Cricetulus griseus: one gene and its partners. The protein of the gene in region 3 purifies or fractionates together with the protein of the main gene of each other region. This does not show direct contact. Links are inferred from orthologs where the notes say so. Each region holds a gene or a part of one and is shown on either strand. Other genes may lie near its edges.

Region 1 (3,517 bases), on a different chromosome or scaffold from region 3:
AGAAATACTCTGTTATTTTGACATTTTAGATCACATCCTTTACTTTGGTTTTCTTTTCACCAAGATAGTATGAAGAATCAGGTGTGTTTGGGAAATTTATTTATTCATTTTGGTTTTTCAGTTTTTTGAGACAAGGTTTCTCTGTGTAGCCCTGTCTGACCTGGAACTCGCTCTGTAGACCAGGCTGGCCTCGAACTCACAGAAATCCACCTGCCTCTGCCTCCCAGGTGCTGGGATTAAAGGTGTGCACCACTCCTGCCCTGGTTTGTTTGGGAAATTTAAAAATGGATTTTCTCATATTTCACTGAGACCTACCCTGGACATTAATGAAAAAAAAAATGTGTGTAAGATTCTAGTGGTATCTCACTAGAGCACCATAACCCACTTATAAGGGAGTTTGTAAGTCTTTTTTTTTTTTTTTTTTTTTTTTCCTCTGTCATCTTGTGAATAAGAGAATTCAGGCACAAGAGAGCTAACTCTTGTTTTTGTAACACTGTGTAGTGGTGGTGGGATGCAGTCTAATATCTTTACCTAATTCTAACCTAATTCTTTTTTTTTTTTTTTTCGAGACAGGGTTTCTCTGTGGCTTTGGAGGCTGTCCTGGAACTAGCTCTTGTAGACCAGGTTGGTCTCGAACTCACAGAGATCCACCCGTCTCTGCCTCCCGAGTGCTGGGATTAAAGGCATGTGCCACCAATGCCCGGCTCTAACCTAATTCTAAACCTAATGTTCTTGTAGCACCCAGATTGAATGAACATAGAACCTTGATTTTGATGAGAAGCTTTTCAGGGAAGATGAAACAGATTCAGGGATGGCAAAAAGATTTGCATATGCACTGTTCTTGTGATACTAGCATGAAAGAGGCTTAGGTCTTAATGAGTTTCCATATTTTAAACATTGCAGCATATAGAGGGTAAGGACAGAAAGACTGGTAATAGAGTGGCTGTAGGAAAACAGACACGTGTTGTGTTGATGTGGAGAGAAAACAAAAGCGTTGTGTTCAGTCTACATGGGCTCAAATCATAAGCTCATCACTTATGTGACCTTGGATACATCATGTGACCTTTCTAAACTCTTAAGTTTTACTTGTAAAATAATCACCTCTTTGTCTTTAAAAAATTTTTATTTTTTCAAAGAATAATAGGCCTAGGTGAATATTTTCTAGCAGATATCAGGGATGGTGCATGCAAGCTGTTACAGTCATTTGAAAATTGTAATTATCAAATAGATCTGATAACTTTTTGGGTGCTGGGGATTAAGCCTAGGGCCTTGCTCATGCTAGGTGAGTGCTCTCCCACTGAGCTACACCCTGGTTCCCAAATGTGAAGTTTTAGGATGCCATTTTTTTCCCCCAGGTACTTAAGCTGTCTCAGTTTTGCAAATACAGCTAGCTAAGCTTATAAGCTTTAGATACTTGGGATAGAAAGAAGTTCTGTAGGTTGATTGTGCTAACCTGATCTTCTGTCTTGGTGCTCTGACTTTATATAAATGGTCTTCTTTCCCAATTGCAGGTCTTATGGCAGCGTGTACAAGGCGATTCATAAGGAGACTGGCCAGATTGTTGCTATCAAGCAAGTGCCGGTGGAGTCAGATTTGCAGGAGATAATCAAAGAAATCTCCATAATGCAGCAGTGTGACAGGTAAAGGCCTGAGGGACCCTTTGACAGAGTGAGCTGCTGTGTTTGCTGTGATCATAGAGTTGGACACCTGCAGATTGAGACAACTGCAGAAGGGCGGGATCAGTGGGATCACTGCTTATTTTCTGAAAAATAGGAGAAAGCTTATATGTTTTGTAGCTAATTTGTAGTTAACATTTTTGCATTTTTCCTTCATCAATTAGCTCTTTTAGAGATGAGGAAGAGACAGACAGTGGCTCGTTCTTTCTTGCTTGCTTGCTCGCTCACTCACTTACTTGCTCTCTCTTACTTTCTTTTGAGAAAATTTTCTGCTGAGATAATTCAAATGCCTTTCAGTCCCAGAAACTGTAGACTGTCAGATTGGTCTATAAAAAGGGAATATTTGTTTAGGTATCAACTGTTCTTTTTATTCCAGTTGAGAGTTCTTAAGTGTTTTAGTTTTGAGGAACTAAGATTTGTCAAATGCTGTAAGCAGGAAGTTGGCCTCAAAGTCAACCACAAAAGAGCACGTGATCTGCTCTGAAGTTCCATGACAACATGAGTTGTCACCAATGGAGCAGGCTTACCCAGCACTGTTGAGATGTGAGCGACAAGTCAAATTGAGGACAGTGCTAGGTCTAGGGAGTTGGAAGTGAGGGTGAAGAAGTTTAGCACATGAGGCGGCAATTTTGGTGAGATCAGTTTATTATCCGTTTTCAACTTCAGCAGTAGATTATGTGGGGGCAGTGGATTTTGTTATTTTGCAGGGACCTCAAATCTCCCCAACTTTGAAGTACAGCTACTGCTCATCTTCTTCCCATTGTATCTTCTTTTTGTGGTTATTGTCTGCTATAGAAAAACCTCCCTTTTTGTTTTTCCTGGTTGGATTGGCCAGAATTAAGTTAGCAGTTTTTCTTTTTATCTATATGATTTTTGTTTTTACTCAAACTTCAATTTACTTTACTCAAACTCTTTTACTTGGCAAATTGGGACTATATATAAACAGTATGGAAATGCTTCTAACTGAAGTGTTTTTTGTTTTTTTTTTAAAGATTTATTTTTTACCTTTTTTTTTTTGGTTTTCTAAGACAGGGTTCCGCTATAGCTTTGGAGCTTGTCCTGGAACTTGCTCTGTAGACCAGGCTGGTATCAAACTCACAGAGTTTGTCTCTGTCTCCTGAGTGCTGGGATTAAAGGGGTGCACCGCCACCATCTGGCTATTTTTACTTTTTTATGTGTATGCCTGCATGTATGCATATATGTGGACCACATGTGCCTGAAGACTGTGGAGGCCAGAAGATAGTGTCAGATCCCCTGGAAATGGAGTTATAGACAGTTGTGAGCTGTCATGTGGGTGCTGGAATCCAAACCTAAGAGTATCATGTGCTAAGAATTGACATTTTGAAGATCCTTCTGGGTTAAGCCTTCTAAGAAAAAAAGAAAGACATGGCAGAGTCCTTGTGTTCTGAGAGTTTTGTTTGTTTGCTTCTTTGATGTATTTTTGTGTCACTGTCTTTTGAGTAAGGGGAGGGTTTCGGGGACATTTGCCTGGTTTATTAAAGCAGCTGGAGAGAATATCAGTGATTTTTCTCCAATTTTTGGGAGTTCATGGGCCAGGCTTGTATAGTTCAGGAAATCTAGCTGACAGTACAAGACTGCATAGAACATATTCCAACAGTGTGTTTGCACAATAGAGAAAGTGACTACAGGAGGCGAGGGAAGAGAGCACACGGGATTATTGTGAGCTGTATTGCTTGCACTAATGTTCATTTTATGTGCTGTGTTTTCCTTCTGTCCTTGTCACTGGTATATGTCCCGAGAATGAAGGGGCATTTGAAATGGAAAGTCCAGGAGGTCAGTGTAGTTTTAATATCTTTGGTTGCTAGGCAACCTGGTTTCCA
Region 2 (3,517 bases), on a different chromosome or scaffold from region 3:
CTCAGCACAGACTGTCACTGAGTGAACTTCTAAGTAAATCAGGAACTAGATGGGCAGCATCATGGGGAAGATGGAAGTTGTGTCTGGCTGGATCATTTGGGAGATGGGTAGATGGGATTCCTAAGGCTGACCTCTGAAGTGTTTGTGGGATTTGGTCCTTTACCAGAGGGTTCTGGAATCCATCCCCACTATGGATGCCTAGGCAGAAGGTGCTGTGTGTGTGCTGGCGACTCATCAGGCACTTGTGTTTCTAGCACCACAGTGTTGCAGAGCATGAAGCTGGGGGTGGATGTGAACCGCCACAAGGAGGTCATCGTTAAGGCCATTTCTGCTGTGCTGCTGCTGCTGCTCAAGCACTTTAAGTTGAACCACATCTACCAGGTACCTGTAGGGTCTGTCTGCCTTCGTGTGCACTGCGCCTGTGCCTCAGTCCATACTGCTCCCTAACCCGAGAATAGGGCTTGGCTTTGAGCCCACTTAAGCTCTCTGCATGAGCATTCTAATATGAGATTATCCAGCCAAGGCTTTTTGTCTCTAGAGAAAAGAGAATAAGAGGCATGCTTATTTTTCTTCTGTTGGTTTCAGTTTGAATACATGGCTCAGCACCTGGTCTTTGCCAACTGCATTCCTTTGATCCTGAAGTTCTTCAATCAAAATATCATGTCCTACATCACTGCCAAGAACAGGTGATAAGGACCAGGGCCAAGAAAGGGTAGAATAGGCAAATGGCAGGATTTCTATCTGGCCTCTCCATTGAGACTCCTCAGCAGACATTTTTCTGAGCATCTATGAGTCAACACTTTGCCAGGCATCAGGAGACAAAATGAATGACAGTGTGTCTGTTTTGAGGTTAGCTAGTCTAGTGACTTTGTTTTTGACCAGGAGGCTCTCATCCTAAGCTCCAGAATTGCCTTCACTACTACTTCTATCCTTCTTCCCTTTCCCCTCACAGTTCTCTGTAAGGAGCTTGGCCTTCCTTAACACCCACCTTGTGCCCGCTGGACCTGATAGCACCTGCTTATCAGTGTGAGACATCACAAGGGAAGTGTCTGGGTAGCTGTGGCTTCTAAGAGAGCTTGGCATACATCAATTGTCTTGAGCCCTACCTCCTAGATTCATGTTATGGGGAAAGCTGCAGGTTACTAATTAGATTATAAACTGAACCTGTCATAGGGAAACTTTCCACATGTATTGTAGCAGATAGTTCCTCATCTTATAGTCAGGGTTAGAGCAAGTAAGGTAGATTGCTACTTCTGCTTCAGTTTAAATCATGGCTACTGACAGACCCAGCCTTTACTCACGGTGCACACTGTGTCTTCTTGCATTCTTCAGCATTTCTGTCCTGGATTACCCTCACTGCGTGGTAAATGAGCTTCCAGAGTTAACTGCAGAGAGTCTGGTGAGTGGCTGGGATTGCCCTGGCTATTCCTTTGTTATGAGGGTTGCCTCCTGCAAAGCAAAGATAGAGGAATCTTTCAGATGAGGTCACCTTTGGCTTTTAAAATGCCAGAAATGGCCATAAAGTTGGGGAGGGATTTTATAGGGCAGAACACCTGGGATAGGTTAGGGCTAGTCAGGGAGCATGTTCTGCAGGGGCTGCTGACCTAGAACTTGCCTACTCAAGCTGCTTGCATCTTCCCACTGAAGTCTGGGGCTATGGTTCCTGGTTTTATGGCCCATGCTTCCTTCAGGAAAAGTCTATTGAGTCCCTGCTTCTCTTTCAACTTGTGGGATGGAGTTTCCCTTTGGCTGTGAGACAGAGAACTTGATGCTAGAAGCATTGACACATGGCCACTGTGGTATATTTGTCAAGGCCATTGGACACTGCTGAGCAGCCTGTGGCTGCTTTTCCTTTTCCTTTTCCCTGCAGGAAGCTGGTGACAACAACCAGTTTTGCTGGAGGAACCTCTTTTCTTGCATTAATCTTCTTCGGATCTTGAACAAACTAACAAAATGGAAACACTCAAGGACCATGGTGAGTCACTGCTGCAGCAAGTCTGGAACTGGGAACTCACAGAGGAGTGCCACGTGCTATGCCTCCCCTCACCTGGGGCAGGGAGTCCTCAGGGTGGAGCTTTTGTTTTTTGTTTGTTTGTTTTAAGATTTTATTTATTATATATACAACATTCTACTTCCATGTATATCTGTACACCAGAAGGGGGCACCAGATCTCATAACAGATGGTTGTGAGCCACCATGTGGTTGCTGGGAATTGAACTCAGGACCTCTGGAAGAGCAGTTGGTGCTCTTAACCTCTGAGCCATCTCTCCAGCCCCTGATTGTTTGTTTTTTGAGACAGGGTTTCTCTGTGTAGCTTTGGAGCCTATCCTGGCACTTGCTCTGGAGACCAGGCTGGCCTTGAACTCACAGAGATCCACCTGCCTCTGCCTCCCAAGTGCTGGGATTAAAGGCATGTGCCACCAACGCCTGACGAGGATGGAGCTTTTGAGGCAGCATTGTCCTTACTCAGTTCTGCAGACATCTGGTTCTTGGTAGAAGCAGAAGCTGGTAGAGACTCTCAGTCATGCACTGAAACAAATCCACCCTTACAGATACATCTTCCGTAGCCTCTTGATCCTGATTGGGAAATGATAGTCAGGGGTCCGAGAGCCGCCTTATCCCTGATCCTGACCTTTGGACAGGGCAGGTCCATGAATTCTCAGAAAGGAGATTACAGAGTGACCCATAATTAGGGTGACCAACCCTTGTGGTTTGCCGTAGCTGTGCTAGTTTTAGTGCTTAAAGTTTTCTCTGTGTACCAGAAAACCAGTGAGTTTAGGAGAAACTGCATGGCTTGTCGCCCTGTTCCCTACCTGGCAAGTGTTAAGTGACCATGTAGTGGCACACACACTTACTCCTTTCCTTGCAATGGCTGTCACTGTGTCCACACAGATGCTGGTGGTGTTCAAGTCGGCACCCATCCTGAAGCGGGCCCTGAAGGTGAAGCAAGCCATGATGCAGCTCTATGTGCTAAAGCTGCTCAAAGTGCAGACCAAATACTTGGGGCGACAGTGGCGCAAGAGCAACATGAAGACAATGTCTGCCATCTACCAGAAGGTGCGACATCGGCTGAACGACGACTGGGCATACGGCAATGGTAAGGCCATTTGGGAAGCAAGATTGGAAGAGGGTGGGACAAGGCACACTTTTGACTCCTTGCCTCTGGTACCTTAGCTGTTTCTACCCTGAGGCACAGACGGGGCCTGGCTAGCTGGGCGGTGGTGGTGCACACCTTTAATCCCAGTATTTTGGAGGTAGAGACAGGCGATCTCTGTGAGTTTGACACCATCCTGGTCTACAAGAGCTAGTTCCAGGACAGGCTCTAAAAGTACAAAGGAAAACCCTGTCTTGAAAAACAAAAAACAAAAACAAAAAAAAAAGGAACCTGGCTCTAGTTTTTGTGGCACCAAGAAGGGAGCACCAGGCAAAAGTGGAAAACTGCTCAGTGTCTGTGGTCATCTGTTTCTCCATCTCTCTACTCTAAATCATGTCTTTTCTAGAAATTGCCATGAGATTC
Region 3 (3,517 bases):
CACTCACATAAAGTACATAAGATATATTAATTCTGTTTCTTGAACATTTCTGTCTGAGTACTGTACATTTATTTGCTAAGCTTCTCATTACACAGGGTCTTAAAAGCCCTTTAGTTACCTATGTTTATTGTCCTGATAGTATCAGATTCATCCTTAATGATCTGTCCATTATATAAGCAGAGTGAAATATATACTCTGTACTGTTTTTAGTAATGAATCTGATTAAGTTTCATTCTAAAAGGCGTAACACTGTCACTTTGAAAATCTTATATTTAAAAAAAAATGCTTTTTATGTCTGGGTGTTTTGTTGCCTGTGTACATGTACACCGTGTGCATTCTTTGACTGCAGAAGCCAGAAGAGGGCAGCATATACCCTGGAACTGGCATTACAAATGGTTGTGAACTGCAGTGTGGATGCAGAGAATCAAACACAAGTCCTCTGGAAGAGCAACTAGTGCCATCTGAGCCATCTCTTCAACCCTAAAAAATATTGTTTTAACTGTTTGTGGGAGCTCATTTTTCTCTAAGCCATATAAGTCTATTTTTTCATTGTTATCAAAGAATTGAACAAGGAATTATTATTATTATTATTCATACTGGAGGTTGAACCCAGGATCTCGGTCATGTTAGCCACATGGTCTACCACTAGAGCTCTACCACATGCTCTACCCATTTTCTGAAAAAGGCATTGATATTCATTCATATCAAGTTACTTTCCTCATGTATAAGTTATTTTTAATAGCAAATTATAAGAATAATCATGTGATTAAAGCTGGAGAATAACTTAAGATGTTATCTTAGTCAGGGTTTCTATTGCTGTGATAAAACACCATGCCCAATGCCGGGCGTTGGTGGTGCACGCCTTTAATCCTAGCACTCAGGATGCAGAGGCAGGTGGATTTCTGTGAGTTCAAGGCCAGCCTGGTCTCCAGAGTGAGTGCCAGGATAGGCTCCAAAGCTACACAGAGAAACCCTGTCTTGAAAAAACCAAAAAACAAAAAAACCCAAAAAAACCCAAAAACACCATGCCCAAAGCAACTTGGAGAGGAAAGGGTTTATTATATCTTGTAACTCTCATGTCACAGACTATCACTGAAGGAAGTTAGGGCAGGAACCTGGAGACAGGAACTGAGACAGGGGCCTTGGAGGATTGATTGATGCATATTGGCTTACTTCTCATGACTTATTCACAACCTAGGACCACTTGCCAAGGGGTGGTACCACTCACAGTAGACTGAGCCCCCTCCTACATCAACAATCAAGAAAACACCCCACAAGCTTGCTCACAAGCTAGACTGGCAGGGGGATTTCTCATCTGAGGCTCCCTCTTCCCAGATGACTCTAGATTGTGTCAGTGACAGAAAACAACTAGCACAGAGGTGAATGTCTGATACAAGAGGTCACTGAGATGCCCCTTGATATTTGCAGCATGGTACTTGTGCACATCTAAGAGTTCAGGAAATGTTTATTCAGAGAGTAAGGTGACCAGTTAAGTGACTAGCTCCATACCTCACAGTTCAGTGTGGTAAGGCCAGGCTCCACCTCCCAGTCTAGTTCCTTGTCATGTGCTTTCTTCCCCATATGATGGCACTTTTCATTTGCACAGGATTTGTCTTTGCTTGAGTTAGCAGTTATGCCTCAGCTTCAGGTTTCTGATCCCTATTCTCTTTTCAAATACTTAATCTTGTAACATAATTGAAATACACATTTTTAATGTATTTATGACAAATTAGTGAAGATAATTTGATATATTAAAATATATAATTAGGACCAGGCATGGATGTGCATATCTTTTTTGGGGGTGGTGGTGGTTTCAAGACAAGGTTTCTCTGTGGTTTTGGAGGCTGTCCTGGAATTAGCTCTTGTAGACCAGGCTGGTCTCAAACTCACAGAGATCTGCCTGCCTCTGCCTCCCAAGTGCTGGGATTAGAGGTGTGCGCCACCACCGCCTGGCCTCCTTTTTTTTTTTTTTTTAAGATTTTTATTTATTTATTATGTATACAACATTCTGCCTCCATGTATGCTTGCAGGCCAGAAGAGGTTACCAGATCTCATTATAGATGGCTGTGAGCCACCATGTGATTGCTGGCAATTGAACTCAGGACTTCTGAAAGAGCAGTCATTGTTCTTAACCTCTGAGCCATCTGTCCAGCCCCAGGGATGCATATCTTTAATCCCAGCATTTAGAAGGCAAAGGCAGGCAGATTTCTTTGAGTTCAAGGCCCACCTGGTCTACCAAGGAAGGTCCAGGCCAGCCAAAGCTACATTATGACCCTGTCTCAAAACAAGAAAACAAAAGTAAAGAAAAACCCAAAAATAAAATTAGTCATTTCCTTCTGTTTATAAAATTTCTACTGGTTTTTCTTTTGAAATGTCTTAATGTTAATGCCTTTTCCTTACTGAACATCTTTTTTTTTTTTTTTTTTTTTTTTACAGCCCCCCCCCCTTTTTTTTCCCCTGCTGTGAAATGCTGAGGATTCTGGGCTTTCTCTGTGTCCAGAGTCTGCTGTGAATAACTGTAGGTGTTTATGTTGCAGTTCTCAGAAGCAGAGTTTGGAGCTTACTAGTGACCTCAGCATCCTCCAGATGACCAGGAAAGAGCTTGAGAACCAAGTGGGATCCTTGAAAGAGCAACACCTTCGAGACTCAGCTGACTTAAAAACTCTTCTCAGTAAGGCTGAAAACCAAGCAAAGGATGTTCAGAAAGAGGTAAAGCGAAAAGACATGCTCAGCCCAATTATGGTTGGACTTAAAGCCAAAGGCAAATCAGATATCCATGCTTCTTAGAAATAAAGAAAAGCAGAAAGCATATTACCTGACAGTTGACACTTGGAACATCCCAGCCTGGTAATTACTAGCTGTGCGTCATGGTCCATTATTGAGAGAATTTATCAAGTGTTTGCTTTTAAACAGACAACAGAGCTAGTTTTTAATTTTTCTCTAACAGTTGACTGACATGAGAGACCCTTTGTAACAGATTGCGTGGTCTGTTTATCAAGGAGTGTGTCATATTAAATGAAGCATTCTTTCAGAAGGCAAACTACAAACTTGGACAACCCTGTAGTACTAGAGCTATATGCTCCTGGGAAAGTGGCTAAAAAGTCACTTACCCTGCTGTGGTGGCTCATGTGTGTCATTCCAGCACCTGGGAGGCTGAGGCAGGAGGATTGGAATGAGTTCAAGGCTTTGATGGGTTACACAATGAACCCTAGCTCAAAACACCAAAGTAAAATGTATATACAGATGGGCAAGGTGATGCACACCTACAGTCCCAGCACTTGGGAGGTGGAGCAGGAGAATCAGGAGTTCAAGGTCAGCCTCAGCTACTTAGTGAGTTTGAGGACAGCTTAAGCTGTATGAGATGTATGTCAGAAAACAAGAAAAAAAGTTAAAAATTCATCTGTATACAGGCAGCCAAATGCCTGTTCTGTGGAACTGTATTCTCCTCCTCTTTTTTTCTTCACAAATATACATAAGTTTTTATGTAATTTTGCTTATAACTTGATTTCATGAGCTT

Evidence for each region.
Region 1: the proteins of Slmap (region 3) and Stk4 purify together in Homo sapiens (co-immunoprecipitation; 3 studies listed by BioGRID and IntAct, with this or other methods). This does not show direct contact. The link is inferred for Cricetulus griseus from reciprocal best matches to the Homo sapiens genes SLMAP and STK4.
Region 2: the proteins of Slmap (region 3) and Strip1 purify together in Homo sapiens (affinity purification with mass spectrometry; 4 studies listed by BioGRID and IntAct, with this or other methods). This does not show direct contact. The link is inferred for Cricetulus griseus from reciprocal best matches to the Homo sapiens genes SLMAP and STRIP1.

Annotation. Positions count from the first base shown.
Region 1 is NC_048599.1:15,432,603-15,436,119, reverse strand, and holds part of Stk4 (serine/threonine-protein kinase 4), read left to right. Parts: intron 1-1,511; coding exon 1,512-1,640; intron 1,641-3,517. UniProt on the Homo sapiens protein: Stress-activated, pro-apoptotic kinase which, following caspase-cleavage, enters the nucleus and induces chromatin condensation followed by internucleosomal DNA fragmentation.
Region 2 is NW_023276806.1:49,542,694-49,546,210, forward strand, and holds part of Strip1 (striatin-interacting protein 1), read left to right. Parts: intron 1-254; coding exon 255-381; intron 382-585; coding exon 586-686; intron 687-1,332; coding exon 1,333-1,399; intron 1,400-1,870; coding exon 1,871-1,975; intron 1,976-2,892; coding exon 2,893-3,097; intron 3,098-3,517. UniProt on the Homo sapiens protein: Plays a role in the regulation of cell morphology and cytoskeletal organization. Required in the cortical actin filament dynamics and cell shape. Part of the striatin-interacting phosphatase and kinase (STRIPAK) complexes.
Region 3 is NW_023276807.1:193,255,553-193,259,069, forward strand, and holds part of Slmap (sarcolemmal membrane-associated protein), read left to right. Parts: intron 1-2,537; coding exon 2,538-2,709; intron 2,710-3,517. UniProt on the Homo sapiens protein: Associates with the striatin-interacting phosphatase and kinase (STRIPAK) core complex, forming the extended (SIKE1:SLMAP)STRIPAK complex.